Elephas maximus indicus: one gene and its partners. The protein of the gene in region 1 purifies or fractionates together with the protein of each later gene. This does not show direct contact. Links are inferred from orthologs where the notes say so. Each region holds a gene or a part of one and is shown in the gene's direction. Other genes may lie near its edges. The genes, in order: SLC30A4, STX8, FUT8 and METTL9.

Region 1 (7,070 bases):
TGCCTCATAGGGTTTTCTAGGCTGTAATCTTTATGGGAGCAGACCTCCAGGTCTTTCTCCCGTGGAGACACTGGGTGGGTTCAAACCACCAATGTTTCAGTTAGCAGCCAAGTGCTTAACTGTTGTGCCACCAGGGCTCCCTCAATGAAGTGCTGTAATAGTAACAGTAATATGGTTGGAGTGACCTAAAGTTCTAAATGAGTCAGGATGCCTCCTTAATAAGCCAAGGGCTGGGGCTTAACAATCCTAAGGGGGACAGATTAAGTGGATGATGCCTGATGGCCAGCATTTGCCCACACCCTTGCTTTGTAGGACGGTACAGATGCCATGGCATTTAATGACTTCCTCTAGTAAAGCAGGGGAACCCTGGTAGCATGGTGGTTAAGAGCTAGCTACAGCTGCTAACCACCAGCCTCTCCTTGGAACCCTGTGGGGCTATTCTACTCTGTCCTGTAGGGTCATTGTTAAGTCGGAATTGATGGGTTTAGCAAAGTAGGTAAGGGAATGCTTCCCTATGAAGCAGGTAGGACAAGTGTTCTTTTCCACTTCACAGATCAAAGACTAGGCCCAGCAGTATCATGATGCTGACTCAAGGGGTCACAGCAAAAGGGTGACAAAACGAGAAGGTGATCCAGGTTCTCCAGCTTCTCACGCGGTGGCCTTGTATGTGAAGAAGTGCTCAGGTAGAAAGGGATCTTCATTTCTGAAGTTGGCCTTTCACTGATCTTCAAGCTACCCCGGCCCAGCTGCCTCCCAGACTCCAGGGCTGGTATGCTTGCCCCCTACACCCCCCATCCTACTGGGGTCTCCTACTGCCTCTAATTTTAGCCAGACATGGCTGGAAAAATCCAATAGGAACATTTAAAAACTAAAGGAAAACAAAAACAAAGTTATAAAAACAAGAAACTTGATTGAGTGTAGGTTTCTGTTCAGAGGTCAGTTTGCTTGGCAAGGTAGATGGGGCCCTGGGCCAGGGATCTTCTCCTTTATCTCCTCCTGTCCTTGAGCAAGTCTGTCTTTTATCTGTTTTGGGTCCTTCTCTTCCCCTGGAGGAGGGTGTAATTGAAGCTGCAGCCTCTTAACACTGTAACCCTTGGGAGTTTTGAAGAAACTACTACACTCACCATAGTTGAGTAACATATCACTTACCCTTGTTCACATTTATCCCGTAGCTGTTCTCATCCCCTTCTGAAAAGGATAAGGGGACACATTTCAAAAACATCCTATGGAAACCTCTTACAGCCACATACTCCAATGGACAAAAGAGTTCTCAGGATGGGGAACATGTAGCATTTGAACCTGTCAACTAAGTGGCAACTTTTCCCATTTTTCTGATTAAAAGAAAGTTTCCACTCCCCCCCTCCCCACGCCCCATCATTTCCAAGGGGATTTCATAGGATAATACCGAGATCTCAAGGTGCTAGAAAATCTCTGATGTATGATACAGGGATCTCTCGTGGCCCGCCTCAGGAACCTAGTTGTTTTTCTGCAGATCGTTTCATTTGTGAGCAGAAAGTAACTGAGGAGGCACAGGACAGTAACAGTTAAGAGCTTGAACTGAGTTCCTGCTCTACCACTTGCTAGCTGCATGACCCTGGCCCAGTTGTTTCACTTCCTTGAGCCTACATGTCTTCATCTACCTAAAAAATACTAATAGCTGCCATTGAGTGCCATTAGCATCCTCACTTTATAGATAAGGAAACTGAATCCCAGAGACGTTAAACGATTTGCCAGAGCTCATATGGCTAGTCAATGGTGAATCCAGGATCCAAACAGAAGCTGACTCCAAGGCCCATGCTTTGAATCACTACCTTCTTCACAGTGAGGTTGTGAGGATGAAATGAACTCATGTAAGGCAGATCCTCTGCATAGTGGTTGGCACATTAACAAGTCTCAAGTCAGCGTTATCTGTGGTATTATTTTTAGTACTGTCATTTGTTCCCAGAGTCACCTGGGCCAGAAAGCAGGTTTTGACACAGGACATTGTGCGTCTATCCTAGACAACTGCCCCAAGGTATGAGTCTTATAATTGGACTGACAGGCTTCTGCTATTAAACTAAGCAACCTACATATCATGGGTTGTCTGGTTGAAAGGTGGGCTATATGGTTAGGAACTTTTTGCCTTCACCCATCAGAAATGTCCTTCAGACTGGAAAGCAGTAAGAAGTCTTTTAGAAAAGACTGGAATCCTGAGCACTGGCTGGCAGAATTGTAGGCAGTACCCAGATAACTAATGGGTCATGTTTCAAACATTCATTTGTCTATTGTTAGAAATTCTGAATACATAGAAATAAAGTTACAAATGGTGGTTACAGACCCAGCCTACTCACAAAAGTCTGTTTAGTCCATTTTAAAGCCCAATGACAGAAACCATGCCACTAGGTCAATCGAGGGTCTAGGAACAAAATACTATGTGATAAAAAAACAAGAAAAGTGTCTTTCTGGGTACAGAGGTTTAATACAGAGAGTATTAATTCTTCACTCCTATGTAACAAATTACCCTAAAACTTACCACCTTAAAATATTAAACATTTATTATCCCATACAGTCTCTGTGGATCATCTGGGAGTGGTTTAGCCCGGTGGTTCTGGCTCCTGAGGTTGCAGTCAACGCTGGTCTGGGCTGCAGTCATCTGAAGGCTTGAGTGGGGCTGGGGGACCCATTTCTAATGTGACTCACTTACCTGGCTGTTGGCAGGAGGCCTCAGTTCCTCAACACATGGGCCTTTCCATGCGGCTGCTTGAGCCTGCTTACAACATGGTAGTTGGCTTCCCCCAGTGCAAGTAACCAAGAGTGAGAACAAGGAGGAAGCTGCAATGCCTTTTATAACCTGGTTTTGTAAATCACACAGCATCGCTTCTGCCACATTCTATTCATTAGAGGCCATATTCTATTTATTAAGTGCAACCCACTTTCGATGGAAGGGGAATTAAGCTCCATCTCTTGAAGGAAAAGAGTATCACAGAACTTGTGAAGGTAACTTAAAATCACTATGTAGGGTGTTCTCTGTCCTTCCACCACCAGTGATACAAAGTAATAAAAGGAAACTGGCATGCAGAACTGCAGCCCTCCCCAATAAAGCTTGCTGTATATTGCAAAGACCCACAACAATCCATGCTCTCCTTCCACTTTTCTTGAAAACGCCTACCCCCTTTCCTTAAATGGCATCGTACTTAAATAATTTATACAAAAGAGAGAGTGATCACACTCCTGAAATACTTGGGTTTTTCACTTGTATCTCTCGTTAGTAGAATTTCAGGCTGTTTAACAAAGTGACAATAAAAACAATTACAACAAATAACGTACTCTCAAAATGGGTGGATTAAGACATTTAAGGCTAGGAAAGCAACCTCCAGTAAACCCTCTCCCTTCAGCTGATGATGACCAGAGTGCCCTAGTAGTTGAATATTGTGGGCAACACTCTTCCCTTCTGGGTCATAGGAACCATGGGGTCTCTGATCCAGGTTTCCTAACATGATTCCCACGGCTGCAGCTCTGTAGAAGCAGGGTGGGCATTCAAAACCCAGGGACTGCCGTGGAGTCCAAAAGCAGCTGGTGCTCGACAGTGGCCCCGAGGCATGAAAGATTCTAAAGTGCCATCTGAATCTTCAGAGGAAAATGATGTTTATGTGACTTTTCGTCTCAGTTTTTTACTTGACGTGCGGTACTGTACATAGGCTGTTGTGAAAATACAACACTCATAGACACTGGATAAACAGGAGTTCGCACTATCATTGCCTCCAGGTAGGAGGTAGGAGCTTGACCTATGAGTCCTCCCGACAGTATTTGTTCGAAATCTTGAGTCTGATCCTCATTTTAGAGTATGATGAAAGCTAAGGGACTTAGCTCAGAAAATAAACATACCCACGAAAGTCTGCACTGAAGTTTAAAGCCTCCCGAACCCCCTGAAGCCTGTCCATGGACTCTGGATCAGAAATCTCCGAAACTTTCACGGGGGCGGGGAGGGGGGGAACCTTATCGTCATTCCGCTTTGCCACTAAAATTCAGATCAGAAACCAGTACTGTGGCGGGCGCGAACGTGGTGGTGGGCACACGGGACGGGCGTGCTGGCTGAAGAACAGGAGACCTAAGCAGGACGCAGCGCTGCTGACAGACGTAAACCTTGCCCTCTCCGCGGTGACCTGACTGCAGCGGAGCCGCCAGCTCGGCAGGCAGAGCGAAGAAGCGGTTCGAGGAGAGAAAAGCGGCTCGGCTTCCCACTGGGCAAGGAGACGCCGAATTTGCTTCTCGCGGAGGACGCGCAAGCAAGATCCCGACCCCAGACTGCCAAGACCCTCCTCTGGTGGCGGGAAGACCCTAGCACCGCCCAGCCCGGGCGCCCGGCTGGAAGCCGCCCCGCGGCCTGAGGACCCCGGCTCCGCCGCTCTGCCTCTCCCCCTGAGGAGGTGGGAAGGCCGCGCCGGGGACCGGGGCTCCGCTCGGCCGGGTAAGACGCCGCAGCCCCGGGTTAGCGCCGGGGACAGAGCCGGCCGCGGCCCGGCGGGCGGGGGGCGAGGGCCGGGGCTGCGGGGAGCCGCGCCCCGCCCGCCCGCGCGCCCGCGCGCCCCGCCCCCGGCGCCTCAGCCCTGCGCGGCGGCCTGCGTGTCCGCGCGCCGACTCCTCCCCCGCGCCTCGCCCGCGGCCGCTCGGGCGCACGCGCAGGGCGCGGAGAAGCGGCGGCTGCGGGCGCCGGCCCCGAACCTGTCAGACCCGCGGAGCCGGCCGCGAGCCGCGCCGGGCGGCCGTGGCAGGCGCGGGGGCGACCCTGCGCCCCCGCCGCCCCGGGCCGAGCGGTGCGAGCCGGGCCCGCCGAGCCGGCCGGGGGCGGGGAGATGAGCCGCGGCCCCGAGGCAGCGCCCCAGGTAGACGCACCGCCCCCTCGCGGGGCCGCGGCCCGCGCCTGCAGAGGCCGGCGACCGCGGAGCCGCAGAGCCCGCGCCTCGGGGCCGGCGCTGCTCCCCGCCGTCCGCGGCGTCGGAACTTGAGGGGCTGTGGGGGCGCCGGTAACTGATAACGTGTTTCGTCTTCCGCAGGGTGGGGAGGGACGCGCGGCTCCGCCGTCGGGCGCTGGCGCTCCCGCGAAGTAGCCGGCGGCCGGCCGCCTGCACCTGGCCGTTCGGCGCCGCGCAGCCGCTGCCATGGCGGGAGCCGGCGCGTGGAAGCGCCTCAGGTCCCTGCTGAGGAGGGATGAGGCGCCGCTCTTCCTCAATGACACCAGCGCCTTCGACTTCTCGGATGAGGTGGTGGACGAGGGGCTTTCTCGGTTTAACAAGCTGCGAGTTGTGGTGGGCGACGATGGTTCTGACGTCCCAGAAAGGCCTGCTAACGGGGCGCACCCTGCGCTCCAGGCCGACGACGATTCCTTATTGGACCAGGACGTACCTCTGACCAACAGTCAGCTGAGTCTGAAGGTGGACCCGTGTGACAACTGCAGCAAGCAGAGAGAGCTACTGAAGCAGCGAAGGGTGAAAACCAGATTGACCATCGCTGCCGTTCTTTACTTGCTTTTCATGATTGGAGAACTCGTAGGTGAGTTGTGTTGCCAACTCACTTTGTTTACCTTGCCTAGAGAGCCGTTGTCGAGCTTTTATTGCCTATGATTTCAGGCTTAAACTCTTTTCAGGAACTTCGTTCTTTATCGTGTCTTAGCTTCCTAGTGCCACTATAACAAATACTACAAGAGGGTGCCTTTAAAAAACAGAAATTTATTTGCCCACAGTTTATGAGGCTGGGAGTCTGAATTCAGGGTGCCGGCTCTCGGGGAAGGCTTTCTTTCTCCATTAGCTCTGGAGGAAGATTCTTGTCTCTTTGAGTTTCTGCACCTGGGCAGTCTTCATGTGGCTTGGCATCTCTCTTCCCCCATCTGTTTCCGTCGCTTGCTTGTTTAATCTCTTATATATCTCAAAAGAGATTGAAGACTCACCCTACACAGACCCTGCCTCATTCACATAAGAAAGACAACTCATTCCCAAATGGCATTATAACCACATGCATAAAACCAAAAACCAAACCCACTGCCTTCAAGTCAATTCCGACTCATAGTGAACCTATAGGACAGAGTAGAACTGCCCCATAGGGTTTCCAAGGAGCAGCTGGTGAATTTGAACTGCTGACCTATTGCTTAGCAGCCAAGCTCTTAACCACTGGGCTACCAGTGCTCCAACCACACACATCCCAGCACTGATGAGTCGATTCCAACTCATAGCGACCCTATAGGACAGAGTAGAACTGCCCCATAGAGTTTCCAAGGAGTGCCTGGCGGATTCAGACTGCCAACCCTTTGGTTAGCAACCGTAGCATTTAACCACTACGCCACCAGGGTTTCTAACCACACACACAGAGGTTAGGAATTGCAACACATATTTGTGGGCGACACAATTCAATCCATAATGTTCCATCCTTTGCCCCCCCCCCCGCAAAATTCATGTCCTTCCCACTTGCAAAACACATTTACCCCATCACATCATCCCAGAAGTCTCAAATAAACTCCAAGTCCAAAATCTCCTGAGTCATCTAAGGCTGATATGGGTGAGACTTTAGGCATAGTGCACCTTGGGACAAAATTCTTCTTCACCTGTGAACCCATGAAATGAAGATTACACGTTACCTGTTTCCAAAGTACAATGGAGGAACAGGCTCAAGGTAGACATTTCCATTACAAGTGGGAGAAATTGGAGGGAAGAAAGGGATAACAGGCACCAAGCAAGCCAAAACCCAGCAAAACAATTTATTTTAGCTCACCAGGCTTGAAAATAATCCTCTTTTCTCTTGAGACCATCTAGGCAATAGCCCTGCCTTCCAGACTCTGGGTGTTGGCCATGCCCTCTGGATTCTGGGGGGAGGCTGTACAGCCCTGGGCTTCAGCTCCGCCTTCCAGGCCCACTGGAATGACAACCCTGCTTCCTAGGCTTAGGTGGCCCATTCTTCTAGCTCATCTGAGTGGTGACCCCATCCCCTCAGCCACTGCAGGCCCAATTCTTCTGCCCCTTAGGCATGGCAGCCCCGCCCCCTCAGTGGCCCCAGTGGACTCCAGAACTGAGTTGGCAAGGTCTGACTCTTCGAAACCTAGG
Region 2 (7,358 bases), on another chromosome or scaffold:
ATAGGACAGAGTGGAAGCGCCTGGTGGATTTGAACTGCTGACCTCTTGGTTAACAGCCCTAGCACTTAACCACTACATCCCTAGGCTTTCCGAAGTACTGACAGCAACCCAAATTCGGGGTTTTGAAATCACCAGAGGCTCCACAGGAGAAAGATGTGGCAGTCAGCTTCCCTAGAGATTTACAGCCTTGGAAATCCAAGGGGGTGGCTATAAGTCAGAATACACTGAGGGCAATGAGTTTGGTGGTTGTTTTTTTTGTTTGATTCCTATCAAGAAGGGTCAACTTCCGCTAACATTAGCAGAAAAACAATTTTATGGAAGGAATACAGATAGCTCCCAGAATCCACAGGAAGTGTGAAAATCACACTTGAAAAGTGGGCAGGGCCAATGAGACCGCAAGACCAAGCAACCATCATCTTACAAAAGCTCACAGCCCCGCTGCTCCACTGTTTGACTCCCTGCTCTCTCCCACAATGCTCTGCTTCTTCGCAGCTCCCTTTAAGCGTCAACCAAATTCTGAGTGGGAACTTACAGGGTTTCCAAGGCTGTGATCTTTAGAGAGAGAAGCCCTGGTGGTCCAGTGGTTAAGTGCTTGGCTGCCAACCAAAAGGTCCGTGGATTGAACCCACTAAGCTGATGCATGGAAGAGAGACGTGGCAGTTGGCTTCTGCAAAGATGTACAGCCTTGGGAAACCCTATGGGGAAGTTCTACGCTGTCCTATAGGGTCATTATTAATGCCTCCACGGCAATGGATTCAGTTTTTTTTTTTGGTTTATCTTTCTTCCCACAAAGTGGGGCTGGTGGGTTTGAACCCACCTTTCGTTATCAGTTGAGTGCTTAACCACTGCACCACCAGGGTTCCTTGTTCAAAACAAATAGGCAGACATAGTCAAAACTGACTGGAAAAGATTCATATTTATGCCTATTCCCAAGAATGATCCAACCGAATGTGGAAATTGTAGAACAATATCACATGCAAGCAAAATTCTGCTGAAGATCATTCAAAAACGGCTGCAGCAGTATATCGACAGGGAAGTGCCAGAAATTCAGGCCGGTTTCAGAAGAGGATGTAGAACCAGAGATATCATTGCTGATGTCAGATGGATCCTGGCTGAAAGCAAAGAATACCAGAAGGATGTTTACCTGTGTTTTTTTGACTATGCAAAGGCATTCGACTGTGTGGATCATAACAAATTATGGATAATGTTCTGAAGAACGGGAATTCCAGAACACTTAATTGTGCTCATGAGGAACCTGTACGTAGATCAAGAGGCAGTTGTTTGGACAGAACAAGGGGATACCTATTGGTTTAAAGTCAGGAGAGGCGTGTGTCAGGGTTGTTCTTTCACCATACCTATTCAATCTGTATGCTGAGCAAATAATCCGAGAAGCTGGACTACATGAAGAAGAACGGGGCATCAGGATTGAAGGAAGACTCATTAACAACCTGCGTTATGCAGATGACACAACCTTGCTTGCTGAAAGTGAAGAGGACTTGAAGCACTTACTAATGTAGATCAAAGACCACAGCCTTCAGTATGGATTGCACCTCAACATAAAGAAAACAAAAATCCTCACAACTGGACCAATGAGCAACATCATGATAAACGGAGAAAAGATTGAAGTTGCCAAGGATTTCATTTTACTTGGATGCACAATCAACAGCCATGGAAGCAGCAGTCAAGAAATCAAAAGACACATTGCATTGGGTAAATCTGCTGCAAAGGACCCCTTTAAAGTGTTGAAGAGCAAAGATGTCACCTTGCAGACTAAGGTGCGCCTGACCCAAGCCATGGTATTTCCAATCGCATCATATGCATGTGAAAACTGGATAATGACTAAGGAAGACAGAAGAAGAACCGACGCCTTTGAATTGTGGTGTTGAAGAAGAATATTGAATATACCATGGACTGCCAAAAGAACAAACAAATCTATCTTGGAAGAAGTGCAGCCAGAATGCTCCTTCGAGGCAAGGATGGCGAGACTGCCTCTTACATACTTTGGACGTGTTGTCAGGAGGGATCAGTCCCTGGAAAAGGACATCATGCTTGGCAGGGTACAGGGTCAGTGGAAAAGAGGAAGACCTTCAATGAGGTGGATTGACACAGTGGCTGCAACAATGAGCTCAAGCATAACAATGATTGTAAGGATGGCCCAAGACCGGGCAGTGTTTCGTTGTGTTATGCATAGGGTCGCTATGGGTTGGAACCAACTCGACGGCACCTAACAACAACAATAGCAACAGTCAAAACTAAGATTTTAACAAAGTGACAAGGCTTCCTCTGATCAAAACATCACTCCAGCTTGCCATGGATTCCATCTGTTTCTTACCAAACAACAACAACAACAACAAAACCATTGCCGCCGAGTCTATTCCAATTCATAGAGACCCTATAGGACAGGGTAGAAATTGCCCTGTAGAGTTTCCAAGGAGCGGCTGGTGGATTCGAACTGCTGACCTTTTGGTTAGCAGCCTGAGCTCTTAACCACTTCACCACCAGGGCTCCAAATGGTGACCTAAAATCCTTCTCTTGGCTTAGAGGACCAAGATCGTCCTCTAAATAGGTTGCTCAAACACACATCCTTTCGCCAGCGTTTTCTCAATAGTACATCAGCTGAGATTTAGAAGGGGCCGACACAGAAGGCAGCATCCGGTGGTTAGGAAGGTCGGTGCTCTGCGGGCTGCGTGGGCTTAGAACCAGGGAGGGGTGTCCTAGTGGGAAAGGGTTAAAAGAGGAACCTCTCATCATTAGCTCTTCGGCCAGAGCCAATTCCCACCCCCTTACTCATCCTTCCAGCTCCGAGAGACATTTAGTCCCTTTTAGGTGCTAGAGGAGGAGCCCTCGTGGTGCAGTGGTTAAAGAACTCAGCTGCTAAGCAAAAGGTGGGCGGTTCGAACCCACCAGCCGCTCTGCGGGAGAACGATGTGGCAGTCTGTTTCCATAAAGATTTACAGCTTGGAAGCCTACTCTTGTCCTACAGGAGAACGATGTGGCAGTCTGTTTCCATAAAGATTTACAGCTTGGAAACCTACTCTTGTCCTACAGGGTCGCTACGAGTTGGAAAGGACTCCACGGCAGTGGGCTTGGTTTGGTTTTGGTTTAGGTAGTAGAGGGTGTACAGCTCAGAGGGAGGAAGTGACTCTCCAAGGTCTTCGGACGGGAGAGGCCAGGCTGGACCTCGGGCCAGGGCTTTTGCCGGTGACGTCCACCCCATCCCGGCCCCAGGTGCTACCCAGAGTCTCACTGTCCCTGTTTGCGCTACACGTTCCCGGGGTTCCTAAACTACGCAGCCCAGAGATACTCGAGGCCTCACCATTGAAGCCGATCACCGCCTCAAGCTCCAGCTCGGCCACCTCGGCCTCGGGCGAAGTTTGGGTATCCATCCCCGGACCGCTCACTTTTCTTCTTAGTCTTCTTGCCGGTGCAGCGTCTTCTCGTCGTTATGGTAATGGCAGCGCGCATGCGCACCAGATCTACTTTCCTGAAACCCGGCCAGGGCTGGTCCAGTTGATTTTCCTTCTTGCAAAAGGGGCACTAATTTTCCCCTTCTCTTTCTCTGGAAATTATTTAAATAATTTTTATTATTTAAAGGCACAAAAGTGACACTCCCTTCCTTCCCATATAGAGTCTGTGACATTCTTGGTAACTATATAATCAAGCACCTAGCGAGATTTTTTTTCTTTATAATCCAATTTAGAGGATTGCCTCTGATGGGAAGGGAGCCCTGGTGGCACAGTGTTCAAGAGCTCTGCTACTAACCAAAAGTTAGGCAGTTCGAATCCACCAGCCGCTCCTTGGAATGTCTATGGGGCAGTTCTACTCTGTCCAGTAAAATAAAACATAATTGATAGTTCGTTCGACCCCTTGTTTAAAGCAGGATAAAATTTTAAATAACATGGTTAAGCGCTAGGTCACTAATTGAAAGGTCGGTGGTTCAAATCCACCAGTAGCTCTTCGGGAGAAAAAACTCTGCTTTCTTATAGATTACAGCCTTTGAAACCCTATGGGGCAGTTGTCCTCCGTCCTATAGGGTCGCTATGATTCAGAACCGATTCCAGGGCACACAGCAGCAGAGAAAGGTCTAAAGGCGCTCCTACGTTCCTGCGAAAATAAATGCTTAGATTTTGCTCAGCTGCAATTTCATTTTAATTGCACATAACAGTTTGCGTTTCTTAATAGGCACAGATTGCTGCAACGTACCGTTGCCCAGGGGAGCGCTTTCTTTTTTTTTTTTTTTTAAGCGTAGTTTTCGGGCCCTGGCGTTGCGGTTCCCCCCTTGGCAAACTCCAGGCGCCCCGGCGCACGGCGGAGCCGCGGGGTGTGAGCCGCGTGGGCCGCCGTAGTCAGCGGCCGCAAACAGGAAGTGCCCCAGCCTCTGGCGGAGACCGCGCCATGGCGCCCGACCCCTGGTGAGCCCTGGGCGGGGGCGGCCGTCCGCGAGGCAGCCTGGCGGGAGGCCGGGCGTCCGGGGAGCTGGCGGCCGCCCGGCCTGAGGGCTGGAGGGCCCTCGGGGTGAGGGGAAGGGCCGCAAGGGCCCGTCCTCTGTGGAGGGCTCAGCCGCGTCCCGCCACCCCGGGTCTTTGCGGCGGCGGGTGGCCGCGGAGGAGACCGGGGGACCCCTGGGGACCGGAGGGCGCGGGTCGGATCTCCGAATGTTTCCCTGGCCCTTCCGGGGTGCCTTTCGCTGCGGGGTTTCCCGCCCGTCCTACTGGGGGGCCGGCTGGTGTAGGCTTTCCCCGAGTCCTGTCAAAGTGAAGTAAAAGTAATCTTGTGGGGGGACGTCCGTCCAGCTAGTGAACCTCCTTATTTCACAGATGGAGAAACCAGGGCTCAGAATCCATCGTCCCCATCCAGTTGGGGGTAGGACCTAAATCTCGTCGTTGAGAAAATTTGTAGGAACCTGGGAGGAAAATTACGCACTTTTTTGTATAAGGTATTTTACTCTGTTGTGTGTAATTATCACGAAGACTCGTTTCAGCAACGTCTTCTGCAGTAAAACATCAGCTGATAAGGGCGATTAATAACGACGAACCGTTCGGTCTCAAGGACTGAATGGTCAAAGACAAGCTCTAATTCCGAGGAATTCATCCTTGTAGCATATTGAACTTGAACTTTTTGTTTAATAATTAAAAATGTATTGTAGCATCATAAAGTTCTTGTTGGCGTATATGTTTTATGTTGGTATTTTAAATATAGGTTATGATTGTCTAGGTTGCAGGCGGTCTGGATATTAGGAGAATGGATTCCAAGATCAAGGTGAAAGCAGCTGCCTAATATCTACATCATTTGTGTCAGTCTCATCATTGGTGTAAAACTAATTTTAACAGTTCTGTACACTCGGGGTAGAAAATTTAGAAAATAGTGAAAATTTGTAGAGAATATATAGCATCTTTAACTCTACCATTTGGAAATAGCCACTATTGATTTTTCAAATGAGTTCCTTACTTTAATCTGTGTAATATATATATTCCAAAACAGAGCATATTTCCATGTGATTACATATTCTCTGAAAACAAGATTTTTATGGTGTTAAAATAGTCATATGAATGACTTATTTAACCAATATCCTCTTTGTTAGAGTAGGTAATTAATTAATTAAAAAACAAAAACAAACTATTGCAAAGGCTGGCCCATTGTTCCATCTCTTATTCCTTGAGCTCACTGTCTAAAAGTGAAACTGTTGGGTTCAAGAGTATGAACATTTTTTAGTCCCTTGATACATATTGCTAAGTTGCCTCCACCTCCTGGAAGCCAACCCCTTCAGTTTACACGTAATACTAAAAACCAGTTGTTGTCAGTCGGTTCTGATTCATGATGACCCCGTGTGTGTCAGAGTAGAGCTTGTTCAAAAGGGTTTTAAATGGCTGATATTTGGGAGGGACAAAAAGCCAGATGCACTGCACCAAAATGTACTACAGTGCTAAATGTGGAAACAGAACCATAAAAGAACTAGAAAAAAGTAGTGATGAATATACAGCCTTGTGTTGGAAAAGACCTCATGTGCATCACAGTGGAGTAGTGCTCCATAGGGATTTCAGTGGCTGGGTGGACTTGAACCTTCAACCTTTCGTTTGTAGCTGAGCCTGTTAACCGTTTGTACCACCAAGTGACTCCCAGTTTACACCCAACCCATTTCTGTCAAGTCGATTCCGACTCATAGTGATCCTAGAGGACAGAGTAGAACTGCCCCATAGAGTTTCCAAGGAGCACCTAGCGTATTCGAACTGCCAACCTTTTGGTTAGCTGTAGCACTTAACCACTACGCCACGAGGCTTTCCGCAGTTTACGCAGAAGGTAGGAAATAAAGCCCAGAAATAAGGGACAGGCCCAACACCATTTATTTAGATTGACGGAAGCCGTAACTGGGGACTCAGGCCTCTTCCATTGTTAATGTTGGAAAAGCATTTATAATATTTTTCTGTTATCCACTAGTTTGAGTAAGTGGCTTTCTCATTTGACCTTTGGGAGTGACACAGTAAGGGACCTCTGCTTTGCTAGTGTCCACTAGTTTTTCAGAGTGGACTGCCGAGCTGCTGATTAGGAGGTAGAGAGGGGTGCGGAAAAGGACTTTGGAAAACCTGTAAAAACAGATTTGACTGCAGCTTTACCCGAGCGCTGTTGGCTACAGCTTTGCCCGTGTGCTGTTGGCTACAGCTTTACCCGAGCGCTGTTGGCTATTAGAGGTCACTGAGGCCTCACTCTTGTGTAGTGTTCTAATGCTTACCAGTTCCGACTCATGATGACTCCAGGTGTTTCACTATAGAACTGTGCTCCACAGCGTTTTTAACGGCAGATTTTTCAGAAGTAGGTTTGCTAGACCTTTCTTCCAAGGCACCTTTGGGTGGATCTGAACCTCTTATACTGGAGCCTCCAACCTTTCTGTTAGCAGCCAAGCAGACTAGCCATGTGTACCACCTAGAGAATCCGGTTCTATTGTTTACAATGGAACAGTAGTTACTACTTTAATGGCAGGGTCCCTAGGTGGAGTCCCTAGTGGTACAAATGGTTAGCACTAAACTGAAAGTTGGCTATTTGATTCTACCCAGATGTGCCTTGGAAAAAAGGCCTGGCGATCTGCTTCCAAAAAACTAGCCATTGAAAACCCTGTGCAGCACAGTTCTACTCTGACACACGTGTGGTTGCCGTGAGTTGGAATCAACTTGATGACAACTGGTTAGTTACTGTTTTAATGGCATATTAAAAACAAGTGATAAGCTCATTGTTTAACAGAAGTAGTAAGTTATTGCCATACTGTGTATGAACTGGTTCTTTGCTAAAGTTAATTAGCTTTATCACTATGGCAGCTGGTTTGTTGATGACATATTTCTGAAAAAAAACCGTAAGACCTCCATAAT
Region 3 (7,543 bases), about 67 Mb from region 1:
GCTCCTGTGAATATTACAGCCTAGAAAACCATGTGGGGCAGTTCTACTCTGTCACATGGGGTCATTAGGACTTGAAAATCGACTCGAAGGCATCTAACTACAAGAGCCTTTCTGAGGATGTTGCAAATTCTCAAGAGATTTGAATCTTTCCTAGTGCCACCTCCCACCAAGTGCATGACATCATGCAACTTTAGAAAGGAAAAGCAGTTGTAAAATTAAACAATGATGGGGTGTAGTAACTCCAAAAAGGTTAGAAATTCTTTATTTATTTATGTGCATTAGGTGAAAGTTTACAGAGCATATTAGATTCCCATTTGATAATTTGTACATAAAGTGTAAGGTTGGAAATACTTGATATAATAAGGTCAGAAAGCTAGAGAGTAAAGGAAGAAGTGTCTTGACTTACAATGACTAATATGGCGATCTTAGCACTTTGCTTGCTTGCTGTTGCCAAGGGAGGAGGGAGGAGGAAGAAAAGACAAGGAGACGGGGTGGAGGGAGTGCCGCTTCAGTTGTGACAGTTCCGCTAGACCATAAATTAAGCTAATTATTAGTATCAGCTGTTACTTATTATTTAATTTGGTGGTGCCGCTCTGTAATTCTACAACTCTTTAGATGCAAAGCATTTTGTGATGGATCTGTATGAAAGATCCTATGTAAAATTAAGTTTACTATTCCTGTTATTACAGTTTAAGAGCTGGTATGATCATGAATTCAGAGTGCAAGCTGCTAAGGAAGAGGGTGAGAGAGGATGTTTGTTTCAAGCCAGTCTTCTATAATCCCAGTTACCAGGAACAGGGGACTATTGGATCAAGGTTAAGTGTGATGAAATTTGAGAGAAAACAAAAGGTTTGAGTTCTGTTTCTGATTTTGTCATCACGTTGACCTTTTAGAATGGAGATGAAATGGAAGTGTTTGCCTGGCACCTAACTGCCTAGGATGTAATGGAGAAGAACAAGAAATGGAGGCTCCACTAAAGAAACGCATAAGATAAATATCAGGTGATACTACCCCTGAAGGTCTTCTAGCCATAATAATTTCACTTGAAAGCTGTTTATTTAGAAAGCAAAGGACAGAAAGCCCTGGAGTTTCAGATTAATACCCCCTTAGAGTAACTATGTTAGAACACTTCGAGGAATATAGGCCAAACAGGTCCACTGGAGGATTAGGAAAACCTCTGGGTGCCTAGGTACTGCGTCTTCTTTATAGCATCAAAATTTTTCTTTGAGTATTTCATGTAAAAAATTATTTTAAGAAATAGAGTAGTTCTTAAAAAATTTTTTAAGGAAGTTTTTAAACAAATAAAAATAATATGTAGAAAACACTAGGAAGCAGAATCACATAAGTGAAATTCAAACATTCAAAAAATACCTAGTGAATGCCAACTACCTCATGTGCTAGGCACTGTGCTTGGACCTGAGATGGAACAAACTATTTATTGTGAGTGATGTAAACTAGGATCCGGTCTCCATTGAAATTAGCAGCTACATGCTGTTCTAGATTCAAGATATGGAGGCCCGATGGTCTCAAATCTATTTTTTGTAAGTGGGCTGGACATCAATAATAAAAGCGATAAGGATAAAATGAGATAGTCTTTTAGAGGACTTGTTAGGTAGTACAAATGGTTAACGCACTTGGCTGCTAATGGAAAGGCCGGAGCTTCGAGTCTGCCCAGAGGCACCTTGGAAGAAAGGTCTAGCAATCTACTTCCAAAAAATTAGCTATTACAGAGCACTCTATGGAGCACAGTTCCACTTTGGCACACATGGGGTCACCACGGGTCAGAATTAACTCAATGGAAACTAGAAAAAGTCTTTTAGAGGTAGTGTTCGGTAACCCAAGGCAAGATGTCCAACAGTGGCTTTGGAAACAATACAGTAGTTCGGTAGCCCAGCGGCAGGGAGCCAAGCAGCACTGCTACCCTAAATTCATCCCGGCTTTCCCAGCCTTCTGCAACCTTATCCCCATCTCCAGTCCACACTGAATTTCTGGCGGTCTAAAGCTTGAAAGATCATCTCTCCATAATCCCCCTCAGCTCATTCAGGTAGGTTGGCCAGATATCCTGTCTTTCCTTGTAGCCACCCTAACTCCTCAACTTGGTTTACTAGGATGTCAGTGAAGGAAACCCTTGGCAGCTACTTCTGAATTTACTGACCCCAATTTTGGAAAGTGTTTCTCAGAGAAAAGGACAGCTAATGTCACAACAAATTTCCAATTTAGAGGCTGTTTGCCATCTGTAAAATTGGAAGCTATCTAGCCTACTGGCCTGCTGGCCTATACCACATGGCATGGATAATAATGGGAGGGTCTTGTAATATAGGCTGTCTCAATCTTCAGTTGCTATCCACTGACCCCACACAATTGCCCAGGCATTGTGGAAAGAGGTGGCACAATTCTAGCCCTTGATGAATTTGTAATCGAAAGTTTTATCTTTCACATTTAAAAGAAGAACTTAAAAAAATACAGGTTAAATCTACTTCCTAAATATTTATCGATTGCCATTAACTTGGACCATTAAGCACTATCTTTTTGAAGCCCCATCTCTCTTTGTCCTCACTAATGGGGCATTCTCAATAATAGGCTTTTTCTCTTTCTTAAATGATCTTCTACAGTTCTTTCCTTTAAACTAAACTGAGGAAATATTATCACAACTGAAATCTTTTCCTATTCAGCTAGAAATGAGCATTTAACTTAAAGCAGATTGCAGGCCAAGCTTTAAAGGGCCATTAATTAGTAATGGCACAAGAGAGCAAGGTGACTAGATGGCTGAAATTGGACAGTACAGGCTTGATTTTTGCTTCTTATCCTATCTGTCCTTCAAAAGCACATTTAATTACTGACTGAGATAACTTGGTGGGGCTTCAGCATGGTGCCTGGCACATGGAAATATCTCAGTAACTATTCTCTGCCTTTTCTTTTCCATTTCCCTGCTATCTTCTTTGCTCTCAGCAGTCACCCATGCCTTCCATCTCATTATGAAAATAATGACTTGAACTCCGTCAACTGTCCTCAATTTAAAGCTTATCTCTTTGGAATTCCTTTCCTGGCTGACTCCTCCACTTGGTCTCCCATACTCTGAGCACCTCTGTGGTCCAGTTCTTCCAGTAATCCCTGTGTATCTTCATTCTCCCCCTCACTGAAGCTTCCTTACCCTCAGTCAACTAATATACTCTAAAAACCAAGAAAACTTTCTCTCAGCCTTTTTTCTTCTTAAGCCACTGGCTGTTTCTCCTACCTATTGCACCCAACCTCTTGAAAGAGGAGTCTACACTCCCTGCCTCCAATTCCTTACCTGAAAGCTACTCCTCAGCCTATTGCAATCTGGCTTCTGCAGTTACAAAAGCTGTCCTCCCAGAGGTCAGTAACTATCTGCTGGTTACCAAATCTACTGGCCTTTTCCATTTCTCTTCTGCACATCCTTGACATGTCATGTGCTTGTTCACTTTCTTGATAAAATTCTTCTTACTGCCTTTATCTTTGTCTGCCTCTTCATCATCTGTGCTCTATCATCTGCCCTGTCTGTACCTTAAATGCAGGTGAACCTCAACTGTCTACTCGTATCTGCTTTTGTTTTTACTCTGGATTGGTGCTTCTCAATCTGGATGCATATAAGTATTACTGGTGGAGCTCTTTAGAAATAAATACCGGGGCCCCACCTAGAAATTGGATTTAGTTGATCTGGGGTTTGGGCCCTAGCATCAGCTTTTTAAATGCTTCTCAGGTGATTCTTAAATGCAGCCAGGACTGAGAACCACAACTCTAGAGTATTTACTTTTATCTTCAGTTCTGACTTCATTCCTGATATGGAGACCCAAATTTCCATTCTTTGCTGAGCACCTCAGCCTAAATGTTATGCAGCACCTCAATTTCCATGTGGTCGATATCACACTCATCATTTTTCCAATTCTAAGAACTTCTTCCTCTGTGTTTATAGGGCCACAATTCTCCCATTCCCCCAAATTGGAGATCTGGAAGTCATTCTTAAAAATTTCTTCTTTGCCCTTCACTTTGCTCATTTGCCATAGACTATAAATTTTACTGCTGACCCGTTTTCAAATCCATTCTCTCTGCCACCATCTAATGTCCCATTTCATGACTTTCTTGCATTGATTTTTTACCTAGCTCCTTGCCTTCAGACTCTTCCTTCTTCATTCCATTCGTCACATGCTAGCAGAGAGATTTTTCTGGAACACGGATCTGATTGTACCCACTCAATAACTACCACTGGATTTCTATTGTCCAAGAATAAAGTCCAAATTCCTTGGTGAGGCCCTCATAAGTGGGCCCAAATTCACTAAAATCATTCTCCTCTATAGAAGATTTCATCTTTATGAAATTTCCCATGATGAAGTCTTAACAGAATGACTCATGGTTCCCCAGTCATGTATTTTCATTCCTTCTTGTCTTTGTTTATACTGCTCCCTCTGTCTAGGTTAGAACGGTCTTAACTCCTATTATCAGCAGGAAGGAAACAGAAAGAAAAAGAACCAACTCAGATGGTTCAAATGAAGGGACAGACATATATGGTCAGAGTAAGGGAAAATCACAAAAGTAGTCAAGGCACCCAGAGACTAGAAATGTAGGTTGCTCTTACCTCTCCTAGACCCAAAGGGAAAAGGGGATAGAATATGTTTCCTTAGCTCAGTGAGAACTGGAGCCATGGAAAAGGGGTCCATCAGAAAGAGCTGCAGGCAGGGAGGGTTGCAGCCACTGCCAGAAACCACAGTGCTGAAGCAGGAATAGTGAAGAAATACCCCAACCTCTCTCTCCTCTTGCCCTCAAATTCAATCAGAAGAAGCCAGCCAACCAACCACCGAAGGAGGCCAGGTAAGGCAATCTATGGATTACAAAGCAGAGCAGAGAGGCAGAGAATGGATGGGGGTGTCAGGGAGACAGTGATTAGATGAAGAATAATCATATATTAACCCTTTTATATATCACCCTGTTGTATATAGTAAAATCCTTTATCTTTTAGGACATAGTTCAAACGTCACCTTTTCTGTAAAGTCCTCTCCCATTTTCCTAACCCAAGATTCAGTTGTTATTTCACTTCTCTATACTCCTTTAGCTGTGGCTATGTCTTCATTATTGCGGCTATCAGTCTGACTTATGATAAAGTTATTTATGCATCTGCATCTGTCTCTTGCATCATATTTTGTGCTTCTGGAGGAAAGGGATACTGTTTTATTCAGTGCTGTGTCTTGCAGGTAACAGGCACTCAATAACTGTTGGTTGAATTTAACTGCATTGTCATGCTATCTCCTTCTTAAGCTTTGTCAGGGAGATTCATGTGTACTTGTAAACCATAGTCCTCACATTTCTTACATTTCTACTTTTCGTAAGAGTTTCTTTTTTGGTCTTACCTCTGCTTTATGCTTGATTTTCCCCTTCTCATTACCTAGACTTTTTTAGGTTAAAAAAAAAAAGGTTAGATCCTTTAAATTGCAGCTCACCAATGAATTGTTGGGAATGCTGTCACCACTGATCCCAACAAGGGTCTAAAACTCTCTGCTTTATTCCATGTCCTGAGTGGTGCATAAAAAAATACTTTCTCTTTACAAGTCACAGAACCCAATTTTTCATTCGTCTTTGGAATTTAAACTCTTCTGAATAGAAGTTATGCTTGGCGTAGCATGTTTTGCATATAGCAAAGGCTGTGTGCTATTCCAATTATTTATAAATAACAATAGCAACTGCAGCTAACATATTTGTGCTATGCAACTACTATTCTACATTGATGATTTTGATGTACCCTGATACATAGCTTTGAGATTTTAATACAAAAAGGACTATTTTTGACCTGATGAAAAACATTATTTCCACATTTATGGTGTTGATAGTCAGAAATAATGGCAAAAATTACAATTCCCATTGCAGGTCTGATTTTTTATTTCAAATACTGCATTTCTCATCTTAAGAAACTTGACTGTGTATTTTTTTCATATTGTCCTTTTCTCTCCTTAAAATGCTCACGCCTACTACTTTCTTGAGCATTTAGAACATAGTTAAAATAGTTGTTTTAATGTCTTTGTCTACTAATTTTATCACCTGTGTCATTTCTGGGTCTGTTTCTGTTGATTGATTTTTCTCCTCATTATGAGTCATGTTTTCCAGCTTCTTTACGTGCCTGGTAATTTGTTTATTGGATGACAAATATTGTGAATTTTGTATTGCTGGGGTGGATTTTTTTTTTAGTGTCTTTAGACATTTTTGAGTAATGTTCTGGGATGCAGTTAAGTTACGTGGGAAGTTCGATTCTTTTGAGATGTGTGTTTAAGCTTTGATAGCCAGGACTTCTAGTCCAGGGCCATTTTGCCCCCCTAATGAGACAATACCTTTCTGAGCACAGTACTCAACCTGGTGTCCAATGTATTACAAGATGTTTGCATTCAGGCTGTTGGAAATGTGAACTATTTCCAGCCCTGTGTGAGCTTTGGTCATTGTTCCTTCCCAGTGGTTCTTTTCCCCGCCTCAGATAGTTTCCTCACGTACATGTGCTGATTGGTACTCAGTTGAAGACTTGAGGGGATACTTCTAGAGATCTCTAGATCTCTCTCTCTGTCTCTGTGTGTGCAGCTTTCTTCTTTCTGGTAATCTACCCTACAGAAGATTCTAGTTGCCTTAGTCTTCCTGAATCCTCAACTTAGTACCTCCAGTTTAGGAAAATCTCCAGCTTCTGTTGAGGTTCTCCTTCCCTGTGCTGTAGATGGAAACTGTCCAGGCAGTAAGCTGGGACAAATACAGGTTCACTTTGTTTCTTGTCTCTCAGAGATCACTGTTATGTGCTGCATGTTGTCCAATATATGCAAGCTGTTGTTTTTATATTTTGTCTAGTTCTTGGTTGTTTAAAATAAAAGTGTAATTCAGGTCCCTATTATGGCCAGAAGTGAAAGTTGCAGCTCTGATTTTTAAATGGGGGATGGAAAAGTATATGAAACCACTTTTGTGTCAGAAAAATAAGCTAGAGTATGACCATGGGCCCATCATTTATCCTTTTCTTAGCTTTACTTTCTTCATCTATAAAATGGAGGGATTGGTCTATATGATCATACAGTTCCCTCTAGCTCTTAGATTCTGTAATTCTATAATTAAACACAGGTGCATTTTTACAGAGAGAATTGATATATAGTCCCCAAAGTGATAGTATAAAGATTCAGTACTATGGAACTCTGATTTTGTCATAGTAGAGTACATTTAGAACTTAGAAGATTTGTGTTTTAATAGATGCAGAAGGAATCTTTAGTTACAAACTTCAGAGGGACAATAGAATTCCCATAGCACACACATGTAAAATGGCCAGACAATTTGAAGGGGGAGAAATGTGTAGAAATATTCTTAGTTTTATTTTTATTTATAGGACCTAGGCATAGTGTATTGTACCTAGTGGGTGTTTGATAAATATCTGTTGAATATCTCAGTGGTATTTGGAAGCCATTTTTTAACCTGAAAAAAACTACCACAGGAGGCTGGGTGGCACAAGTTGTTTGTGATTAGCTGCTAACCTGAAGGTTGGCAGTTGGAACCCACCCAGTGGCTCTGTGGA
Region 4 (7,717 bases), on another chromosome or scaffold:
ATGAAGAATGTATAATTTAATCCTCACAACAATCTCAAGAGATCAAACCCTTTATATGAAGAATGTATAATTTAATCCTCACAACAACCTCAAGAGATCGGTAACCATTATTAATATCACCATTTTATAGATGGGGAAACTAAGAACTGAAGAGATTAAGTAATTTGCCTCAAGTTGCATAACTAAGAAGTGTTGTGCCAGGCTTCAAAACCAGGTGGTCTGAAAGATTAGAGAGGCCCATAAAACAAAATGAGATTAAAGGGGCACACCAGCCCAGAAGCAAGGACAAGAATGCAGGAGAGCACAGGAAAGCTGGTAATGGGGAACCCAAGGTCAAGAAGGGGAGAGTGTTGACATGTTGTGGGGTTGGCAACCAAAGTCACGAAACAATATGTATATTACTTATTTAATGAGAAACTAATTTGCTCTGTAAAGCTTCATCTAAAGCACAATAAAAACAAACAAAAACAAACTGGTGGTCTGTTTCAACCTGTTGCTGTTGAGTCGATTCGGACTCACAGTGACCCTATAGGACAGGGTAGAGCTGCCCCACAGAGTTTCTAAGGAGTGCCTGGTGGATTTGAACTGCCAACCTTTTGGTAAGCAGCTGAAGCACTTAACCAGTATACCACCAGGGGTCCTAAAAGCGCAGGATAAACCACTATGCTAATGAGTAGCACTGGGAGCTCTCCAAGGGAGTAAGCTGTGTTATTTGTACTTACTCTATGTTAAGAGGAAACCCTGGTGGCATAATGGTTAATTGCTATGGCTGCTAACCACAAGGGTTGGCAGTTTGAATGCGCCCTTGGAAACTCTATGGGGCAGTTCTACTCTGCCCTATAGGGTCACTATGAGTAGGAATCGACCAGACGGCACTGGGTTTGGTTTTCTATATTAAAAGGAAACCCTGGTGGTGTAGTGGTTAAGTGCTATGGTTGCTAACCAAAAGGTTGGCAGTTTGAATCCACCAGGTGCTCCTTGGAAACTCTGTGGGGCAGTTCTATTCTGTCCTATATGGTTGCTATGAGTTGGAATCGACTCGACGGCAATGGGGTCTATATTAAAAACAAAACAAAAAAACCTGTTGCCTTAGAGTCGACTCTTAGCAACCCTGTAGGACAGAGTAGAAAGGCCTCATAGGGCTTCCATGGAGTGGCTCCTGGTTCAATTCTGCCTACTTCATGCTATTACTTTTTAACTGTTTATAATTTCATCTTGACTTGGAATTTATCAGAGCCACAGTGATATGACTTGCATATGATTGAAATTACTTTAGCTAAATTAAAATAAAAATCCCACTGTTGTTCCATGCTGTTGCGTCCATTCCAACTCATAGCAACCCCATGTGACAGAGCAGAACTGCCCAACAGGGCTTTCTGGGGTGTGATCTTTGTGGAAGCAGATTGCCAGGTCTCTCTCTCACAGAGCAGCTGGGTGGGTTTGAACCACCAACCTTTCACTTAGCTGAAAGCTTAACCATTGTGCCACCAGGGCTCCTTAAAAACTCCCTACACTTCACTAATTTTATTTTTTAGAGGTGCTTATTGCTTAAGAAGCACAGCTATTGAATATATTGGGGAAAACTTGTACTTTTCTCTGACACTTTACAAAATGTTATTAAGAAGCATTAAAAAAAAATCTGGGGCTTCCTGGGGGAGGGTAGTGTGTTCCTTTTTGGGACATCGAAGTTCCACGTTGGGAACCCTCCCAGACCTCCCCCTGTGTCTCTTCATTTCTATCCTTTTTGTTATAATAAAACTGTAATCACATATCTGGACACAGGCTCCACTCTATGGATTCTGGTTGGAGGCCCATGGGGCCTGTGCATCAGCCCTGCCTTTCAGACCCACTGGGAGGGCAGCCTCTCCCTTAGCTCGGGGTGGCCCCATTCTCCTGGTACACTTGAGTGGTGACCCCACCCCTTTCGCCCCACGTGGCTTAGTTCTCCTGGCCCACTGACACAGAAGCCTTGCCCCTTCAACTTTGGACGGTGGCTGTGTTAGCTGGTATCAGAACAGAATTGGTAATAAATTGGTTTGGATCAATTAACACCACACACACACGCACACACACACACACACACACATCTAAGCCCATGAACATGTGATATGAGTTCTTTCAGGATAATATCCCCTCAGGGAGATGGCAAGACCAACAGTGACCAGCATGTTTGCTACACTGTACAGATCCAAGTCTCTCACCCTTTGGGTTGTCTTAAGATTATACACTTTGTAGTTGAAAAGAGAACATGAAAATGCCATGACTTGTAGCTTAAGAGGAAAAAAAAAAAAAAAGCCCCTCTCTAGAATTCTAGGTAGGAATGTAATCCAGTCAAAATTCCAGGCCTGTGCACAAGGCTGTGACCCAAGGTTTCCACCAACTCGATACCAAGCTAGACACCTGAGCTCCTGGTCAGGAGGGCAGTGAGAAGAGGTTGGCACAGAAGGTGTCAGCTATGTGTCTTTTGAATATCACTGACTGAATTTCGAAGTCAAGTTAGAAAGGATATTGGTTCATCTCTGGATTTTTGTGTTCTTTGTGCGTCTTCCCCTCTCCATTATGGATAACTGAGGTTTTAATATACAGTGGTGACATTCTAGTAGATGAAGGAAAGGGGCAGTCTCTGAGGGCCATCTGAACTTCTGCTTAGTATATTTACTCTTGCTGTTTTCCTTCCTCCTCATTTGTAATTCAGGAGGCTCTCTGAAAAGAGAGAGAGACAGCGAGGCTTCTCAGATGGATCGGAGGACCAAGAGCTGGGATACCAAGTTCTATGATAAGGTCTGCTATTGAATTTGCTCTGCTACCTTTAGGCAAATCATTCGATCACACTGTGCTTTGGTTTCTTCCTGTGCTTGTTAAGTGTAAATAACATGCATTGAATATTTTGTGATTACTATAGAGTGTTTTAGATGTGTGGGTGGTCTATTGTTCTAGGTTGGCTGCTCAGGTATAAGGCAAAAATCTGTTCGTTTGAGATGCTGGGCTTCTGGGAGTCAACTGACCTCAAGCCCTTCAGGCTGCAGCAGCATCTAGTTGCTTCTTGTTCATCTGATACATTTTGCAGTCTCTGAGTAGCAGTGCAGCAGGCTTACTCTATGGTTGGGGGGGGGCATACCTTTTTTTTCTCCTTTGTCTTCAGAAATGAAATATGCCATTTTATGCAGTACTACTATTTCTACCCCCCCACCCCTCCCACTTTGAAAAGGTGAAGGCTTTCTTTTGGCACTGATACCAAGAGACAAGAGGCAGAGGTGACATAGTAAACAAACTGAGTTATTTGGACTTGTTACTATAATTCCTTCTTGATGATTTGAGCCCAAGACCACTAGAGGTTTGAAGCAGATTTAGTAAGGTGCAGGCTCTTTGGGGTTTTGGCAGGAAGCAGTCAGGGAGTATTTTTTTTTTTAGTCAGGGAATATACAGAACTGGAAGGAGAGGACAAAGTACCTCTCTGCCCCACCCTTTTTTTGTTAGAGGCTATGTCACATTAGGTAACAAGATATCCATGTTAGTGAAATGTGCCAAGCTGAGATTCTTAGAAGCTAATAGAAATATTTGTGGATAAGGTACTATTTTGTTTCTCATCAGTGGATGACCTCACCACCGTTGCAGAAATGAAAAGCTCTGAAGTGCAATATGGCATGAACTGAGGGGTTTCTTCCTTTTGTTTTGAACTAAAATAAAATGTATTTACATTATTTCTGGTTCAGTTAAATTAAAATCATTTTGTAAACAAACCAACCCAAGAAGGCGTTATTAAAGTTAAAAGGACGCGTGAAACATGTTACTCCTTAGTTGCAGCTTGAGTAGCAGCAGAAAGAACGTTAGACACAGTGTAACCCTTCAGTTTTGAGAGGTTGCTAGGTCTCCTCGGGCTATAAATGATCAAAGAAACATCCGGGTAAATACTGCTCCCAGAGCTTACTTCGCCTAAGAGTGTTGGTTCCAACTTTGGTCTGTGAGTTCAAAGAAAGAGCACCTAGAGACACTAATTTGGGGTCTTCATCCTTGGGCAGAGTCATCAATACATCAAAACATTACCTGCGGGTGCCCCAGCTGCAGTAGCTTTCAACAAAGGCAGAGCTTTCCTCGATGCCTCTTAGAAACATGCAGCCAGCAACTGGCCAGACTTGGGGGAACCGAGGTGGTGGTGGTAGCGATGATATTCTCTTTCCCTAGATTCCTGTCTGCTTTGCAGCTCCTGCGAAGCGAGGTGGAGGCCCTTGGGATAGGGTTCTGGCTTGTCAGCTCGTAGTCGTGCTCGTAACAGCTAAGAACTGGCATCGTTGGTCCATGGGAAGGACTTGGGTCTGAATCTTTGGATGCACGAACGCGATGAGACCCACCCCAGGCAATCTGCTCCACAAAGTGCAAGTCCTTCCTGGGGGTGGAATGACGAGCCCACTGGCAAAGGCTAAGGCGAAGACAGACCTGAGGTCTTGCAAGCACTACCTTGGAAGGAGGGGAGGCTTCAGTTACCGCTTTCGGAAGTGAGCTCCCCTCCCCTAAAAAATTTACATGGTCTCCGCCATTACGTGGGGCCGCGCTAGAGACGGCCGGCGGGGGCGCGCGCCAGGCGAATGCGCGCTCCCTTTGTGCCACCTCCCAGCCGGCCTGCTGATTGGACCAAGGGAGCGCGCCCCGGCGAGAGCGCGCCCCAGCAGCTCGTACGTGCTCCGGGTGGAAACCGGCGCCGTGGGCGGCGGCGTTCCGCGGCGGAAAGGAAGGAGGCGGTGGGAAGGCCGTGCGCTGGCCGCTCCTCCCCGCCCCCCTGCCTCTGCCCTGGAGGGGCTGGATGGGCAAGTTGAGCGCGATGGCTCGAGCCTGGGCGGTGGCGGTGGTGGCCGGAGGCGGCGGCGCCTCCTCCTCCTCGCCCCGGCGCCGGCGGTGATCGGAGTGAGCGGCCGCGGCCCCCGATGAGACTGTTCGCGGGCTGGCTGTGCCTGAGCCTGGCGTCCGAGTGGCTGGCGCGGAGGATGTGGACGCTGCGGAGTCCGCTCCCCCGCTCCCTGTACGTGAACATGACGAGCGGCCCAGGCGGGCCGGCGGCGGCCGCGGGCAGGAAGGAGAACCACCAGGTACGGGAGCCGGGCCCGGCCGGGGTCGGCATCCGGCGGGGGAGCGGCGGCCCGGCCTTCCCGCGCTCGGCCCGGCCATTGTGCGGCGCAGCGCGGCAACAGCGCCGCGGGCCCTCGCCCCGCCGCCGGCGCCCGGAAACTTTTCCCCGCGACTTCCCCCCGGGCCCCGGCCCGCGACCCCCGGGCGCCCGGCCCGGCCCTGCGGCGCCTTTTGTTCCCCGGCGCGGGCGGAGGCCGGCTTCCCCTTCCCCCTCCGCGGGCCCGAGCGTGGGCGCCCGGAGCCCTGCATTGTTCCCGGGCCCCCGGCGGGGCTGGCAGAGGCCCCTCGGCGCCCGCTCCCGGCGGCAGGACGCGGAGAACTTCGGGGCCGGCGGATGGCGAGGGTCACCCGCCTGACAGCGAGGCCTGGGATGAGGACAGCCCTCATAGCCTAAGGGGCACAAAACGAAAAGCCGGCCCCTCTTTTTGTCTCGTTGAATCTCTGAACATACAAAGGGTTGTGAGAAATTGAAACGTGCGTCGTGAGCCATTTAACTCTCCGGGCTTATTCGGGTGACATTTTCCCTAAGCGCTTACGTGTGTGAAAGGTCCTCACGCCCATCCTACTGAGCCTTCCCCTCCTACCCAAGAGAGATCTCCTTTAAACTTCGATTTAGGCATCTGACCAGAAGGATGCATAAAGAGGAAAATGATGTCAGCTGTTACAGGAAGGGCTTTTAAAACAACACCTGGCAGGACTGAATTCTTTTTAAGAGTTATAGTTGTGGGTCGTGAGCGATGCGATAGGATCGGTTACCATCTTATTATTAGCTCCAGTTTAGTGCCATTTCAAAGAAGGATGTGCAGGTCAGCAGTCGAATTAAGAGTGAAATATTTTGTGTTTGATCATACTGTAAGTTTGCGGTTAGCATTACATTCATTTAAAAGAGGCTTTTGGTCGCGGCCAGAAAGTTGACTCACAATAGCTTGCATTTATAGTACATTTTACCTATTCTGAGAACTCCCCATATAACCTTGTGCAGGGATCATTTTCATGGATTTCTTATTTTTCTTTGTTACTTTTCTTATTCGAGGTATTCAGAGAGTTTACGCCAGGTTGATTTTACGTGTTTTTTTTTTTTTTTTAAGATAACATTTGTTTATTATTTATTTATTTATTTATTATGCTTTAGATGAAGGTTTACAGAACAAACTAGCTTCTCGTTAAACAGTACCCATATTGTTTTATGACATTGATTACTAACTGCATGACATGTCAACACTCTTCCTTCTCGACCTTGATTGGATACCCTATTAGCAGCTTTCCTGTCCTCTCCTGCCCTCTAGTCCTTGCCCCTGGGCTGGCGTGCCCCTGTAGTCTCGTTTTGTTTTATGGGCTTGTCTAATCTTTGGCTGAAGGGTGAACCTCAGGGGTGATTTCATTACTGAGCTGAAACGGTGTCTGGGGTCCATAGTCTCAGGGTTTCTCCAGTCTCTGTCAGGCCAGTAACTCAGGTCTTTTTTTGTGAGTTGGAATTTTGTTCTACATTTCTCTCCAGCTCTGCCTGGGACCCTCTATTGTGATCTGTCAGAGCAGTCGATGGTGGTAGTTGGGCACGATCTAGTCGTACTGGACTCAGTCTAGTGGAGGCTGTGGTAGTTGTGGTCCATAAATCCTTGGGACTAATCTTTCCCTTGTGTCTTTAGTTTTCTTCACTCTCTGTTGCTCCCGAATGGGTGAGATCATTGGAGTATCTTAGATGGCTGCTCATAGGCTTTTAAGACTCCAGGCACTACTCACCAAAGTAGGATGTAGAACATTTTCTTTATAAACTATGTTATGCCAATTGAGCTAGACATTCCCCGAGACGATGGTCCCGACAGCCCTCAGTGATTTCATATGTTTTAATGAAAATAAAGAATTCTAGGAAGGAGGTAAAGCAGCTCATTCGGAAAAGTAACATACAGTTTTGATTAAGCAAGTATTTGTAGTAGTGCTTTTTCTGTTTTAAAGGATATCCTAAATGTCTATAAGATTTTTGGTAAACCCCCAGCTATCACAATTTGTTAGGCGATCAACTCCTATGATATCATTAGGTGTGTACATGAAGTTCGTAGGCAATCTTAAATTGTAAAGCCACGTTGATTGATTTGGATTTATTACTTTTTTTTCCTAAATTTTATTTTGTTGTTGAGAATATACACAGCAAAACACTAGTTCAGCAGTTTCTACATGTATAATTTAGTGATGTTGATTACATTCTATGAATTATGCAACCATTCTCACCTCCTTTTCTGAGTTGTTTCTGCCTCATTAACATAAACTTAATGCCCCCTAATGTTTCTGTCTAATCTTTGGAGTTGCTGTTGTCAGTTTGTTCCCCTGTGGATAGTTCTTAAAAGAGCATAATGCTCAAGGCAGACCTTTTTTACTAGTTAAGCCAAACTGTTGTTCAGTTTTAAGATGACTTCAGGGAATATTTTTGGTTTAAGGTTTAAAGATTATCTCAGGGCAATAGGTTCAGGGGCTCATCCACCCTCTGGCTCTAGAAAGTCTAGAGTCCATGGGAATTTGAAACTTCGTTTTACATTTTCCCCCTTTTGATCAGGATTCTTCTATGCAGTCTGATCAAAATGTTCAATATTGGTAGCCAGGC

What was found.
Region 2: the proteins of SLC30A4 (region 1) and STX8 purify together in Homo sapiens (co-immunoprecipitation; 3 studies listed by BioGRID and IntAct, with this or other methods). This does not show direct contact. The link is inferred for Elephas maximus indicus from reciprocal best matches to the Homo sapiens genes SLC30A4 and STX8.
Region 3: the proteins of SLC30A4 (region 1) and FUT8 purify together in Homo sapiens (co-immunoprecipitation; 3 studies listed by BioGRID and IntAct, with this or other methods). This does not show direct contact. The link is inferred for Elephas maximus indicus from reciprocal best matches to the Homo sapiens genes SLC30A4 and FUT8.
Region 4: the proteins of SLC30A4 (region 1) and METTL9 purify together in Homo sapiens (co-immunoprecipitation; 3 studies listed by BioGRID and IntAct, with this or other methods). This does not show direct contact. The link is inferred for Elephas maximus indicus from reciprocal best matches to the Homo sapiens genes SLC30A4 and METTL9.

Annotation. Positions count from the first base shown.
Region 1 is NC_064828.1:10,785,833-10,792,902, forward strand, and holds the start of SLC30A4 (probable proton-coupled zinc antiporter SLC30A4), read left to right. Parts: upstream 1-4,065; 5' UTR 4,066-4,447; intron 4,448-4,758; exon of another isoform or gene 4,759-4,862; intron 4,863-4,886; exon of another isoform or gene 4,887-5,033; 5' UTR 5,034-5,138; coding exon 5,139-5,529; intron 5,530-7,070. UniProt on the Homo sapiens protein: Probable proton-coupled zinc ion antiporter mediating zinc import from cytoplasm potentially into the endocytic compartment. Controls zinc deposition in milk.
Region 2 is NC_064837.1:11,079,367-11,086,724, forward strand, and holds the start of STX8 (syntaxin-8), read left to right. Parts: upstream 1-4,350; 5' UTR 4,351-4,395; coding exon 4,396-4,412; intron 4,413-7,358. Other genes in the region: CFAP52 (cilia- and flagella-associated protein 52), read right to left, coding at 3,317-3,386. UniProt on the Homo sapiens protein: Vesicle trafficking protein that functions in the early secretory pathway, possibly by mediating retrograde transport from cis-Golgi membranes to the ER.
Region 3 is NC_064828.1:77,675,943-77,683,485, forward strand, and holds the start of FUT8 (alpha-(1,6)-fucosyltransferase), read left to right. Parts: upstream 1-4,523; 5' UTR 4,524-4,827; intron 4,828-7,543. UniProt on the Homo sapiens protein: Catalyzes the addition of fucose in alpha 1-6 linkage to the first GlcNAc residue, next to the peptide chains in N-glycans.
Region 4 is NC_064830.1:82,535,268-82,542,984, forward strand, and holds the start of METTL9 (protein-L-histidine N-pros-methyltransferase), read left to right. Parts: upstream 1-4,697; 5' UTR 4,698-4,919; coding exon 4,920-5,081; intron 5,082-7,717. UniProt on the Homo sapiens protein: Protein-histidine N-methyltransferase that specifically catalyzes 1-methylhistidine (pros-methylhistidine) methylation of target proteins.